Linked DNA regions of Yarrowia lipolytica. The protein of the gene in region 4 binds, or shares a complex with, the protein of the main gene of each other region. Links are inferred from orthologs where the notes say so. Each region holds a gene or a part of one and is shown on either strand. Other genes may lie near its edges.

What was found.
Region 1: YALI1_F30106g (region 4) and YALI1_B08193g share a complex: the UniProt entries of both Saccharomyces cerevisiae proteins name them as parts of the mitochondrial small ribosomal subunit. The link is inferred for Yarrowia lipolytica from reciprocal best matches to the Saccharomyces cerevisiae genes RSM10 and MRPS9.
Region 2: YALI1_F30106g (region 4) and YALI1_A03402g share a complex: the UniProt entries of both Saccharomyces cerevisiae proteins name them as parts of the mitochondrial small ribosomal subunit. The link is inferred for Yarrowia lipolytica from reciprocal best matches to the Saccharomyces cerevisiae genes RSM10 and MRPS12.
Region 3: YALI1_F30106g (region 4) and YALI1_E18326g share a complex: the UniProt entries of both Saccharomyces cerevisiae proteins name them as parts of the mitochondrial small ribosomal subunit. The link is inferred for Yarrowia lipolytica from reciprocal best matches to the Saccharomyces cerevisiae genes RSM10 and RSM27.

Annotation. Positions count from the first base shown.
Region 1 is NC_090771.1:817,478-820,814, reverse strand, and holds YALI1_B08193g (mitochondrial 37S ribosomal protein uS9m), read right to left. Parts: upstream 1,465-3,337; coding exon 505-1,464; downstream 1-504. Other genes in the region: YALI1_B08207g (uncharacterized protein), read left to right, coding at 1-1, 44-193; YALI1_B08186g (uncharacterized protein), read right to left, coding at 1,850-2,212; YALI1_B08156g (uncharacterized protein), read right to left, coding at 2,680-3,337. UniProt on the Saccharomyces cerevisiae protein: Component of the mitochondrial ribosome (mitoribosome), a dedicated translation machinery responsible for the synthesis of mitochondrial genome-encoded proteins, including at least some of the essential transmembrane subunits of the mitochondrial respiratory chain.
Region 2 is NC_090770.1:338,686-341,263, forward strand, and holds YALI1_A03402g (mitochondrial 37S ribosomal protein uS12m), read left to right. Parts: upstream 1-1,564; coding exon 1,565-2,074; downstream 2,075-2,578. Other genes in the region: YALI1_A03396g (uncharacterized protein), read right to left, coding at 1-931, 1,304-1,322. UniProt on the Saccharomyces cerevisiae protein: Component of the mitochondrial ribosome (mitoribosome), a dedicated translation machinery responsible for the synthesis of mitochondrial genome-encoded proteins, including at least some of the essential transmembrane subunits of the mitochondrial respiratory chain.
Region 3 is NC_090774.1:1,830,952-1,833,559, forward strand, and holds YALI1_E18326g (uncharacterized protein), read left to right. Parts: upstream 1-1,708; coding exon 1,709-1,959; intron 1,960-2,030; coding exon 2,031-2,106; downstream 2,107-2,608. Other genes in the region: YALI1_E18303g (uncharacterized protein), read left to right, coding at 1-1,500; YALI1_E18378g (uncharacterized protein), read right to left, coding at 2,223-2,608. UniProt on the Saccharomyces cerevisiae protein: Component of the mitochondrial ribosome (mitoribosome), a dedicated translation machinery responsible for the synthesis of mitochondrial genome-encoded proteins, including at least some of the essential transmembrane subunits of the mitochondrial respiratory chain.
Region 4 is NC_090775.1:3,009,328-3,012,286, reverse strand, and holds YALI1_F30106g (mitochondrial 37S ribosomal protein uS10m), read left to right. Parts: upstream 1-1,667; coding exon 1,668-2,456; downstream 2,457-2,959. Other genes in the region: YALI1_F30116g (uncharacterized protein), read right to left, coding at 1-642. UniProt on the Saccharomyces cerevisiae protein: Component of the mitochondrial ribosome (mitoribosome), a dedicated translation machinery responsible for the synthesis of mitochondrial genome-encoded proteins, including at least some of the essential transmembrane subunits of the mitochondrial respiratory chain.

The DNA.
Region 1 (3,337 bases), on a different chromosome or scaffold from region 4:
TGTTTCATCCTTGGAAACATGGTCACACGCATAGCGGACAGAGATTGGTGCGAGTGTTCCAAAGCGGGTTCAGATTGGTGGCGAGTGTTCCAAAAGCGGGTTCAGGTCTTCGTCACAGAGATCCCCAGGCCCAAATAAGGCACAAGTACTGACTAGTTCCACGGTATGTGCCAGTGGTAGCTATAGATTGTAATGATATAGATGACAGGGAATCTTGAGAAGATGAAATGAATCAAGGAACATATCTATAAGGTATGTCGCGAGATCATTGGTCAGAGAATGACATAGGAGTTAGGTTCTCTGTAATGGCAGAATTGTGTGCTGCCAGACGTATTCTTTCTGTAAGACTATTGCATACTCGTGCCATCTCAATCAAACATCTTCGTTATCTTATATACAGGTATACCAACAACGGCCAAGTGCAACCACCACTGACAACCTATCGTTCTGCTCAAGGCAGCCAAGTGGCGTCTCCACAAGACAAATATATACAGTTCTCGTCTCTTATCGCTTGACCCAGGTAGGGGCGGCTCGGGCTCGTCGGAGACCAGGCTTCTTTCGCTCCTTGGTACGGGCGTCTCGAGTCAGACATCCGGCCTTAGACAGTCGCTTTCGGAGCAGGGGGTTGTGGACAATAATGCCTCGAGCAATGCCCAGAGAAATAGCGCCGGCCTTGCCAGAGTTGCCTCCACCGAGGACAGTAGCAAACACGTTGTATTTGCCCTCGGACTGGACGACCGACAGAGGGAACAGCACCTCGGATCGATGCTGAAGCTCCTTGAAATACTGGGACAGCAACAGACCGTTGACTCGGACTTCACCGACGGTTCCCTCGGGAGCCTTGGTGACAATGACTCGTGCAGAAGAGGTCTTTCGTCGACCTCGGGTCACAGCTCGTCCCTGCTCGTCCAGAGTCTCGATCTCGCCGGACTCTGCGTCGGTATCAATCTTTCGCGAGAATCGACGCAGTAGATCCTTCACCACCTGGGGCTTGAGCTGGTTGTCAATGTAGTACAGATCGGCCAGAGCCTTGGTGAGCTCAGTATGCTGGGGGCCGGAAACGGGCTCGGAAGAACCAAGCATGGTCAGGTAAGTGATTCGGGTCACGAAATTAGGGGGAGAAACACCCTCTCGGTTTCTAGGAAGGAACTCGTACTGACGTCGGACTCGGTTCACGACCTCCATGGTCTGCTCATGAGCTCCTCGACCAGTGTACTGAAGAGCCGTTGCGGGGGCAACTCGCACGTTCTCGGCCGCGCCGCGAGGTGTCTCGGAGATGCTCATGTCCACACCAAAATTCAGGTGCTTCTTTCCTCCTCTCCACTTCTGGGCTTCCTGTGCGTCTCGCTCAGCCCGCTCAGCCTCTCGCACAAACATGTTTTTGGGCTGTCGAGGAGCCTGTGTTGACTGGAACCGCACGGCGCCCAGACTCAGGTTTTTCACCGATCGAGTTAGTCGCAGCATTGTGATTGTGGTGATGTGTGATCTGGTGATAGTTTCCGCCTATTGAGAAATTTCATGGGTGCAAGAATTAGACTTTTGCATGGAGGAAGCTCGCCGGTTCGATTTTGGTCAGGATCATATAGTGTAAGGTTATCTTGAATTCGAGACCGTGACGGGTCTCGATTTGGGCAAAAAACCCATGGAAATTCAGAACAATGTGAATAAAATGTATCAGACATTAAATTGGTCAATAAATGAAAATAATCTTACTAGAATGTCCACTGCGTTCGATTAATGGCCAAGGTGAGACATTTCCACCTCTTGATCACTCGCATTTCTGCTCAACTTGATCAAAATGTTCAAATGTTCAAATGTTCAAATAAATAGTCAATAAATACCCCCTATCCTACCCTTGAAACGCATAAACAGCCTCCTTCAGACCCTCATTTCGTCTCAATACCATATCAAGGTCCCTCATGGTGATAACCACCCGGTTGTCGAGCTTGGCAAACGACTCCAGATCTCCCCCCAGGGTCACTGCCTGCTCAAACACGAGCTCAGTCAACGCATCAACAAAGGAGTTGTCCACAGGCACGCTACGCGTCTGCTCTGTCACAATCCTCGACACAGTTATCCAAATCGCAGATTTGAGACGCTGGGTTAGAATAAATAAGACCCGAGAGACTCGCGTGCACGCGTATCGTCTAGTGGCGTGGTCGTTGATCGCGAGGCCAACTTGTGTTGCATCATCATATGTATCATATGCCATTAGGTGTAATCAAGGCAGTCAATACTCACCTGTGTAATCTCCTCCTTGGTCCCTGTTTCCTTCATTTTGATGAGTGAAAAGTTGAGTTCTGCGTTCAGTATTACTGTACTGTACATATAAACATACTGTACACTGTAGGCTTAGAGTTGATTGTGGGGGAAACTGCAGTGCTGTTAGATCTTGCGAAATTCGATCAAAAAAAACAAGGAATTGGGAAATCAGACATTATGAAACATACCGCCAGTCTTGTTGAATTGTAGGGGATTCCATTCATATCTATACCAGATTTCACTGACTTTTCTTGTGGGAGACTGGAAATTCTCTACCTGCGAAAATTGACCAACCTTGTTAAATAATTGGCTGGAACTGTACGCGGTGTATTCTGCTACTGGCTCTGCCGTGACATAAATGGATATAATTAATGTATCCCTACAAGCTGTAGTTCTAATGAATGTTTGTTGGGTTGTCTAGCTTTCGGCTTTCCTCTTATTTTCCAAATCCTTCTGCTCTTCCAGCAGTCTCTGCAGCACAAATGCTGCCACATCTTCATCTTCCAGGTAACTGATGTGAGATGCAATGGCAGAAATGAATCCCAGATCCAGCACACTCTCCTGAAGAGCATAGTCAATTCGTCCAGTGGCTGACAATGCCCCCAGCTTGGTGATCACTCGTTGTCTCTCCTCGGGAGTCAGCTTCCGTTTGGAGATACTACTTGTCGAGGGGAACTCGGCACCCTCGTGGCTGGGCTGTACCTTCTCCTCTCCTGCTCCCTCTTTTCGTTCCTCTTCTTTCTGTTGCTCCAGGAAGCTTGCGGCATTGAGCAGCTTCTGGGTGATGCTCTCTCCACTCGTGTAGATGGTGTTCCACATCTGCTGAGCCCCTTCAGCGACCTGACGACCGAGGTTGGAAATGGACTCAGTGGAGAAACCAGACTTGGTGAAAGGAACACTGGCAGGACGCAAAAAGGCAGCAAGCTTGTCAACCAGAGGCTCGATTCGATAACTGATAGGGTCTGAGGGGTGGAAGATGTTGTACAGGTACTTAACGTTGGGAGATAGGTAGTTCGAAGTCGGCTGGAACTTGGTTTCGTCTGCAATCAGATTGTTCTTGTGGTTCTCGGCGTCA
Region 2 (2,578 bases), on a different chromosome or scaffold from region 4:
ATGTCTCGGGAGTCTCGAGGTGGGGGTCCTCGGTAATCTCGGGAAGGAGGGTATCGCTCTCGATCCCGATCATCGTACCGGCCACCACCGTAGCCACCTCGCTCTCCTCGGTATCCAGCACCGCCACCAGGGGCGCCGCTACCGGGGAATCGGTCTCGGTCATCATACCGGGGAGGAGGGGGTCGTCGGTAGTAGTCCTCTTCGTATCGACGGTCGTCGTATCGAGAGGGGGGAGGTCGTCGGTAGTCGTATCGGTCTCGGGAGTATCGATCGTCTCCGTATCGTCCTCCACCTCGGCCACCTCGTCGGGCCTTGGGAGGTCCAAAGTATCGACCGGGGGTGGGGGTTCGGGCTCGCTTTCGCTTGGCCTTCTCAATGGCAAGAGTCTTGCCAGCAAGCTCATGGCCGTTAAGTTTGGCCAGAGCCTCGTCGGCGCCCGTAACGTCGGCCATCATGACGAAACCAAAGCCTCGGGACTCGCCAGAGTGGGGGTCCATCATGATCTGGCACTTGAGAACCTCGCCAAAAGGCTTGAACAGGTCCTCAAGCTCGGTCTCATTGACGTATCGGGACACGCCAGTGACGAAGAGATTGGTGCCCTCGTTCTGGGCGTCAACATCGTCGTCGTCATTCAGGGGCTCCTTTGACCGTCGGTCCAGGTCTCTGTCGTCTCTGTCAAAGTCACGTCGGTCGTCTCGACGGTCAAGGTCGTCCCGGTCGTCCCGTCGGTCGAGATCGTCTCGGTGGTCTCTGTTTTCGTCGTCCCGGTCATCTCGACGGTCGAGGTCGTCTCGGTCTCGCATGCTGTGGTCTCGGTCGTCGAGCTCTCGGTCGTCGTGGGTGTGCTCAACAGGGGCACCAGCCTCGTCGTCATCACGACGGGGAGACACACTTCGTCTCTCGTAGGTCTGTTCAGGGGAAGCCGAACGGTCTGTGTTAGTGGATGCGTGTGGGTGGATTGGCGTGATGCACTGGTGCCGAATACAGACACTTGTGGTGGACAGATGCAGACCGAGCCCAGCACAACCTCATGGCGAACAAAATGGGTAGACAAATATGGGAACAGCTCCAACTGGACCCGTTCTGTGTCCTTGAAACAGGTTCGGCGCAATACACCTTTGCAGCGGGCACTTGTCGAGTGTCTCTTCTCTTCTCTTCTCTCATTCTGTCGTTGCGGTTGTGCTAGTATTCTTGTTGGGTGGAGAGCTCAGTATCTTTGCCAACAGATATAAGATACGGCTTGCGGTTGCTCGTGTGCGACAGTGCACGCCGCCTTGTGCGCTCGCAGGTATCAATTACTCACTGTATTCTTCGTCGGCCATTTTTCGTGTCTGAATAAGATGTACGAAGGGGTCTTCTGCCCACTGACTTTTACATTTCTGACGGGGGTTACCCGGAAGCCACACCCAACTATATACTATACATACACACACACACACACACTGGGTGGGTCTCCTTGGGAGTTGGGTCTCTGGGCTTACGGCCGGGTAACACTGAAATTTGCATGCAGTGCCACTATCTCAAAGCTTGAAGTCAGCAGTTTCGCGATCTCGAACTACACAAAATGCTTCGATCTCTGGGAGCTGCCCTCACAAACGCCCGAATGGGCATGGCTCGTCTGCCCTGGACAGCCTCTGCGCTCCCCAAGCCCACAATGAGCCCCACCCTGGCCGCTCTCACCGTGCGACACAAGACCATCAACCAGATCCAACGAGACGGAGGCCGACCTGTGCCTTACCGACGAAAGAAGTCTCCCGATCTCGAGTCGTGCCCTCAGCGAAAGGGCGTTGTTCTGCGAGTTCTGATTCTCAAGCCCAAGAAGCCCAACTCTGCCCAGCGAAAGGCCGCCCGAGTCCGTCTCAGCAACGGCAAGGTGGTGACCGCCTACATTCCCGGAGAGGGTCACAACGCACAGGAGCATAGTGTGGTCTACGTCCGAGGAGGCCGAGTCCAGGATACTCCCGGTGTCAAGTACCATCTGATCCGAGGAGCCGGCGATCTCGGAGCTGTGCCCAACCGAGCCAGCTCGCGATCCAAGTACGGAACCAAGAAGCCCGCTGCTCCGGGCGCCTAATGTATATAGTAATGGAGCATCAGCTAGCGACACGTCGTGAGCTGTGTATGTGATGGTTTTCGGGATGCGGTGATTCTGTAAATAATGGGATGTAGAGGAGGTTCCAGTGAGGGACTTACTGGAAGCAGAGTCGTAAAAAGGTGCTATTATTGAGTAGTTGCACAGTTGAAGTCGCTTATCCTGTGACAATGTCATGTTCCGGATTATTCTCCCGAACACTTGCTATCTGGGATCATGAACGTGGTTATCCTGGTCAGGACGGGAAAATGGCCTGCTCATCTACAAAGTCATCGAGCCTGGTCATATTGATTTAAAATACACGTAACAATCAAACTCTTCAGAGTGGTTACCGTACCAGTACCCACGCCAATCTATCTCGATAATGCCTTCCATACACCTTCACTACAGTCAGTTGTTATTCATATCATATTCATTACAATGGTACATGGAGACATACCGATGCATAGCTAGTTCCGACCGTTAGATGAAGAGAAGTCAATCAGC
Region 3 (2,608 bases), on a different chromosome or scaffold from region 4:
TTGTCCCACCTCGACTACAAGACTCTTTGTGCCGCATCACAGGTTTCAAAAAGCTGGAACTCCATTGTTGAAAGCTTGGGCGCAATCTGGAAGGGTCTTTCAGAGAGCCACCAGGCGCCCGTTACCGATGCTGACGTTGCCAGAGCTACCGAGCAAAAGTGGGACTATACCACGTGGGGGTCCGAGGACACCGATCCTAGCATTGTCGAATCCACTCCTCTGTACAGCAAGATCAACCTGTACAAGAGCATATACCGTCGAAGACATCTTATTCGTCGCAACTGGATGGATCCCAACTCCACACCTGACTCCACATGCATCCGAACTGGACGGGAGGCAGTCATTACTTGTCTCCAGTTTGATGATGACATCATTGTCACTGCCAGCGAAGACCCTTGGATCAACGTCTACGACACTAAAACTGGCCGTCAACGAAGTCGACTCGAAGGTCACACTGGAGGAGTGTGGGCTCTGCAGTACGTTGGTGATACATTGGTCAGTGGAAGTATTGACAGAACTGTTAGAATTTGGAACATCAAAGAAGCACGATGCACCCACATTTTTACAGGTCACGTCTCTACGGTGCGGTCACTAAGCATCCTGACTCCTGTGCCAATGAGCCATGCAATGTGTGCTACTGCACGAACGGAGAGCACCGACCCCGATGAGATGTATCCTTCTCGACCTCTCATTGTTACTGGATCTCGGGACAAGACACTGAGAGTCTGGAAGCTTCCTCTTCCAGGCGAGCCTGAATGGCTGGATCAGTCCACTCAGGATCCCTACTTCATGAAGTCACTCCAGGGCCACTCTAATTCTGTTCGCGCCGTTAATGGCTACGGTGACACTCTTGTCTCTGGATCTTATGACACTACTGTGCGTGTCTGGTCTATCAACACTGGAAAGTGCAAGTTTGTACTTTCTGGACATCACAAGCGAGTATATGCTGCTGTTCTTGATCATCAGCGTAATCGATGCATCTCTGGGTCGCTTGACTGGAATGTGAGGGTCTGGTGCCTTGAGTCAGGATCCTGCCTGTACACTTTGGAAGGTCACACCTCGCTTGTTGGTCTCCTTGACCTCAACCGATCTTGGCTCGTGTCGGCTGCAGTTGACTGGACCCTTCGAGTTTGGGACCCCGAGACTGGAGGCAACATACATAAGCTGGAGGGACACGCGGAGGCAATTTCTTGCTTTCAGCACGACGAATACAAAGTTGTCAGTGGTTCCGCAAAATGCTTGAAGCTCTGGGATATTCGTACTGGCAAACTTGTGAAAGATTTGTTCACGGAGTGTGAGTCAATCTGGCAAGTGCGGTTTAGTGGATCCAAGCTCGTCGCAGCTGTCCAGAAAGACAACGAGGCTTATCTCCGAATCCTGGATTTCGATTATGAGCCAGGAACGAAGACTGAGAAAACGGTCTACGTTGGAAATGAGGATGACATCAAGGTCGAAGACGAGCTTGACACCGCTGCCGCTCCTGATGTAGCTCAATCCTAAGTTTCATACAAGCTACATGGGCATTTACATTTGCCCACCCATATATTTAATTAACAGGATATTATTTACGATACTCGTATCACATACCTTCATACAGTAATTCTGATGGCTGTGTTTTCAAATGAGCTTATCGGGTCACGTGTGTTTAAGGTTTCAATGAGATGTTAGCTTTTCAGTCCCAAATCACCACAACACAACTCGCACCACGATGAACCCCATCCGGCCCAGCAAAGAGCGACTTACCTCGTTGGCAAAATTGACTGCCCAGGTTTTTAATCGGTCTTACAACCCCGAGAACCTTCGACGTGGCACTAAGGCCCTCCGGGCACCGCTGATTGGCGAGCAGATCAAGAGCTACTACCCCACAAGCGACTTCAGCATGAAGAGCCTTCGAGAGGCCATGCCCCAGTTTGGTTTCGCAGACTACACTGAGTGGTACCGACTTACCAACGTTGTTCAGTGAGTATTAGATCCTATTGTATAAAGGCTACTAGGTACACGCACAATCGTGGTTCAATTATTAACAACAGGCGAAAGAAACGAGGAAAGGGAGCCCCTAAGAAGCTCACCGAGAAGAAGGCGGCCGGTGGAAAGAAGAAAAAATAGGCATGCTATTAATTTATACTGCCATGTACATAGACGAAATACAAAGCACGTTTACTACGGTGTATATGTTTCGATTAATTTCAACATTTCTATAAATTATGTAAGTATATCCATGGTTAGATGTAGTCGTGGCTATCGTCGTCAAGTGTTTCATCCTTCTCGTCATCTTGCTCTGCACGTTGGTATCGGCTAGCTCGTTTGGACAGAGCTCCACCCCAAACGGAGTTCTCAAACGAGTCGATGAGCTGGTCTTCCTGTCTGTGGATGAGGTTCAAATCAGAGGAGTCTTGGTCCTTGAAATTGTCACTGTCGCCTGATACGCGCCGGTCCCACATAGAGTTCCTGTCAATGTTTGACCGTTCCGAAGTCCATGAGAAACGGCCAGAGCTGCCAGCATTCGGGTTCGGTGTCATTGGGTCTGTAGACAGGAAGTAGTCTGCTGGAACTGGAACACCATCAGGTGTTGTAGGTACCTCTTCCACATCGAAGTCCGCCGTTTTCC
Region 4 (2,959 bases):
TGTGGCGGCTTCTCTCCACTGACTATTGTTGACATCCAGAAACCGTGGGGATGCCTGAATCTCGTCCTTGCTCTTTTTGCCATTGTCTCCTGCTCGTCCAAGCAGTCCAGGAGTCGAAGGAGGCGGTGTGGCCGACTTGCTGTTGTTCCGTCGTTTCATGGTCATGTTTCTCAAATAAGGCGGCGTTTGACCGGACGAATATGCCGCTTCGGTAGGGCTCTTGGGACTGTTCATTTCGTCTACTGGTGACAGAGCGGCTGTAGCGGGAGAGCTGGATCTGGGTGTCGTGGGGATAGACACATCCTTGGCGCTGTTGTTGCTGCTACTGTTGTTACTGTTGTTACTGTTGTTGGTGCCATGGCTATTATTGTTGCGAGGGCTGGCTTTGACCGGGAGATCTCGGTCGCTAAGATCTTTGAGGCTAGCAAGCGAGGTGAATGAGTTGCTGAACTGCCCCGAGTGTCTGAAGGGCGAGGAGGTGGCCTTTCGGTCAGGCACTGCAACAAATGAAGCCATTTTGGAGTCTGTGCGCAAGCCCGAATTGGCGTGCGTAGGCCCAGAACCCTCGCCGAGGTTCACCGGAGGCAGCAGACCCCCGGGCATTTTGTATTTCGAGTGCGCCTGGCGTCGGTACTCGGACATGTTGGGGGTGTGGATAGGTGTGGATCACTATCAGCGTGTTTATGCACTGCGATGTGGAGTTAGACTTTGGGCGATGGCATGTCGGGCAGGCGCAGTGGAGGCTATGGTGAGAGGTGGTTAAAAGTGACAGGGGCTAGTCATACAAAGTGGAAAAACGTCGGATTATGACCTTTACAATGTATAATTTGCACACCATGCCATTTTTGGTAGCATATATCAACACAGACCTCAACTCTGATTTATTGTACTGTATATATTACCATAAAAGTTCAAGCAAGTGTACTACGAGTAGGAGGGTGAACCAAAGTTTTGGATCATTTGAAAGCTGACCAACCAGTGAGACTTCTCCGTTACCGGACAGTAGCTGAAGTAATGAAGATGTTAGCTTGTGTATAACGTGTGAGAAATAATTTGAGAGCATACCTACCCAATTAAACAATCAAGACCGCCCGTATTTCCTCCTCCTCACACTTGTCTTCTAAACACGTGTTTGGCTTCAGGGTATACGCCACTCACATCTATGCCCACATCGCCACTCGACACATCTTCTGTTAGTTAGGATTGTGTTGCATCCATCGGCGTTGGAATATAATGCAAACCTTTGCCCTGCCATCTACTGTAGCAGTTTGTGTTAATATAGCCGCCGTGGGCAATAAATTTATGAATCAGCCAGTCGCCCGGTCCTTTAACTAATCATCAACTAGCATATCTTATTACTTAGCGCCATCAAGTTTCGTTGACGACATTCCACATCTCGGACACTGACTCTTCCAAAACCCAACGAATGAAAAACCAGATCCACGGATTAAACACCACAATATCACATGTACTACCAATACCAATAGACAGACAATTACTGCACAATAAATAGAACACCCTTTGCCTATTGTACCGCCTCCCGCCTACTCTCTCTCCCATCCCATCCCCCATTACATAATTGTCCCAACCAGACCTAACCCTGAAAAACTTAACCGACACTCAGGTGTGGTGAAATTTCGCATCAAACCACACCGACACAGCACACGATGATTCCTCTTCGGACCCTGGCCCCACGAACACTGCCGCGAACGGCGCTTGTGCGATTCAACTCCACTTTCCGACAAAATGAGCTAGGCAAGATGTCCCAGGCCTCAGTGGAGTCCCAGTTGACCCCCAAGGCCCAGGCCCTTCGACAGCAGCTGTCTGATGATCTGCTGGTCCCCAAGCAGGGCACCTACACCCAGACCGAGCACAAGATCTACGAGGCCAACTCTGAGAGACCTCTGCCAATTTCTGCTCTCGCCAACTACTACGGACCTCTCAAGGTCAAGATTCCCGAGGGCACCCCTAAGGTCAAGTGTGCCGAGCTCCTCTTCAACGCATACTTTCACGAGGACCTAGAGGTCTTCACCGAGTTTGCCCAGCGAGCGGCCTACTACCTGCGAATCCCCGTTGAGGGACCTGTGCCCCAAAAGACCCGATTCAAGCGATGGACTGTGAACCGAGCAGTTTTCGTGCATGCAAAGTCCAAGGAAAACTTCGAGCGACGAACCCACGGCCGAAAGCTCATTCTCAACAACGCATCCCAGGATACCATTCAGGTGTTGGTGCAGTTCCTCTCGCAAAACAAGCTGGCTGGTGTCGGTATGAAGGCCAAGCTGTTCACCCACGAAGGTCTGCCCGAGTCTCTGGACCAGCTGGACGCCATGGAGGTGGATGAGGTCTCCAACGAGGCCGTAGAGGCCCGAGTGCAGGAGATGCTCAAGGAGTTTGATGCCGAGGAGGTGGCTCAGGAAAAGGAGGCTGACCAGACCCAACAGCTCCAGAAGGAGTAATGTAAATAGTGTATATATGAATAGTACGGTTGAATGACAGACATGTAGATGGAATGAGTAGCTCACGCGTAGTTTATGGCTTCAAGTATCATCTGAGAGGCCGCTTCAATAGTGCACGAGATAGCTTTACGGAGTAACATACTAAGTGAACCAGTTGTGTTTGGATTCTTAAAACAGCTGTCATAAGCCACATGATGTCAAAGTGACAATAAAAACAACCTGAAAGCATCAGACAGCCTTATTGTTACCAATTCCAAAAAAAACAAAACTTCGTTTCAACCCAGAGAAACAAAAAATGATTTGACGACCTCGGAGAGGGTCGAACTCTCGATCTTACGATGGCGGCCATTCAGGTGACTAACAGTCGTACGCCTTAACCAACTTGGCCACGAAGTCAAATCTTAAATTTGTTAGAACCCAGGCACTGTGACTAAGCAGACTGATGACTCAGCCGGGGTGGCCATACCGAAGGTATGGTCACTGCCGTCACTCTCAAGAAAGGT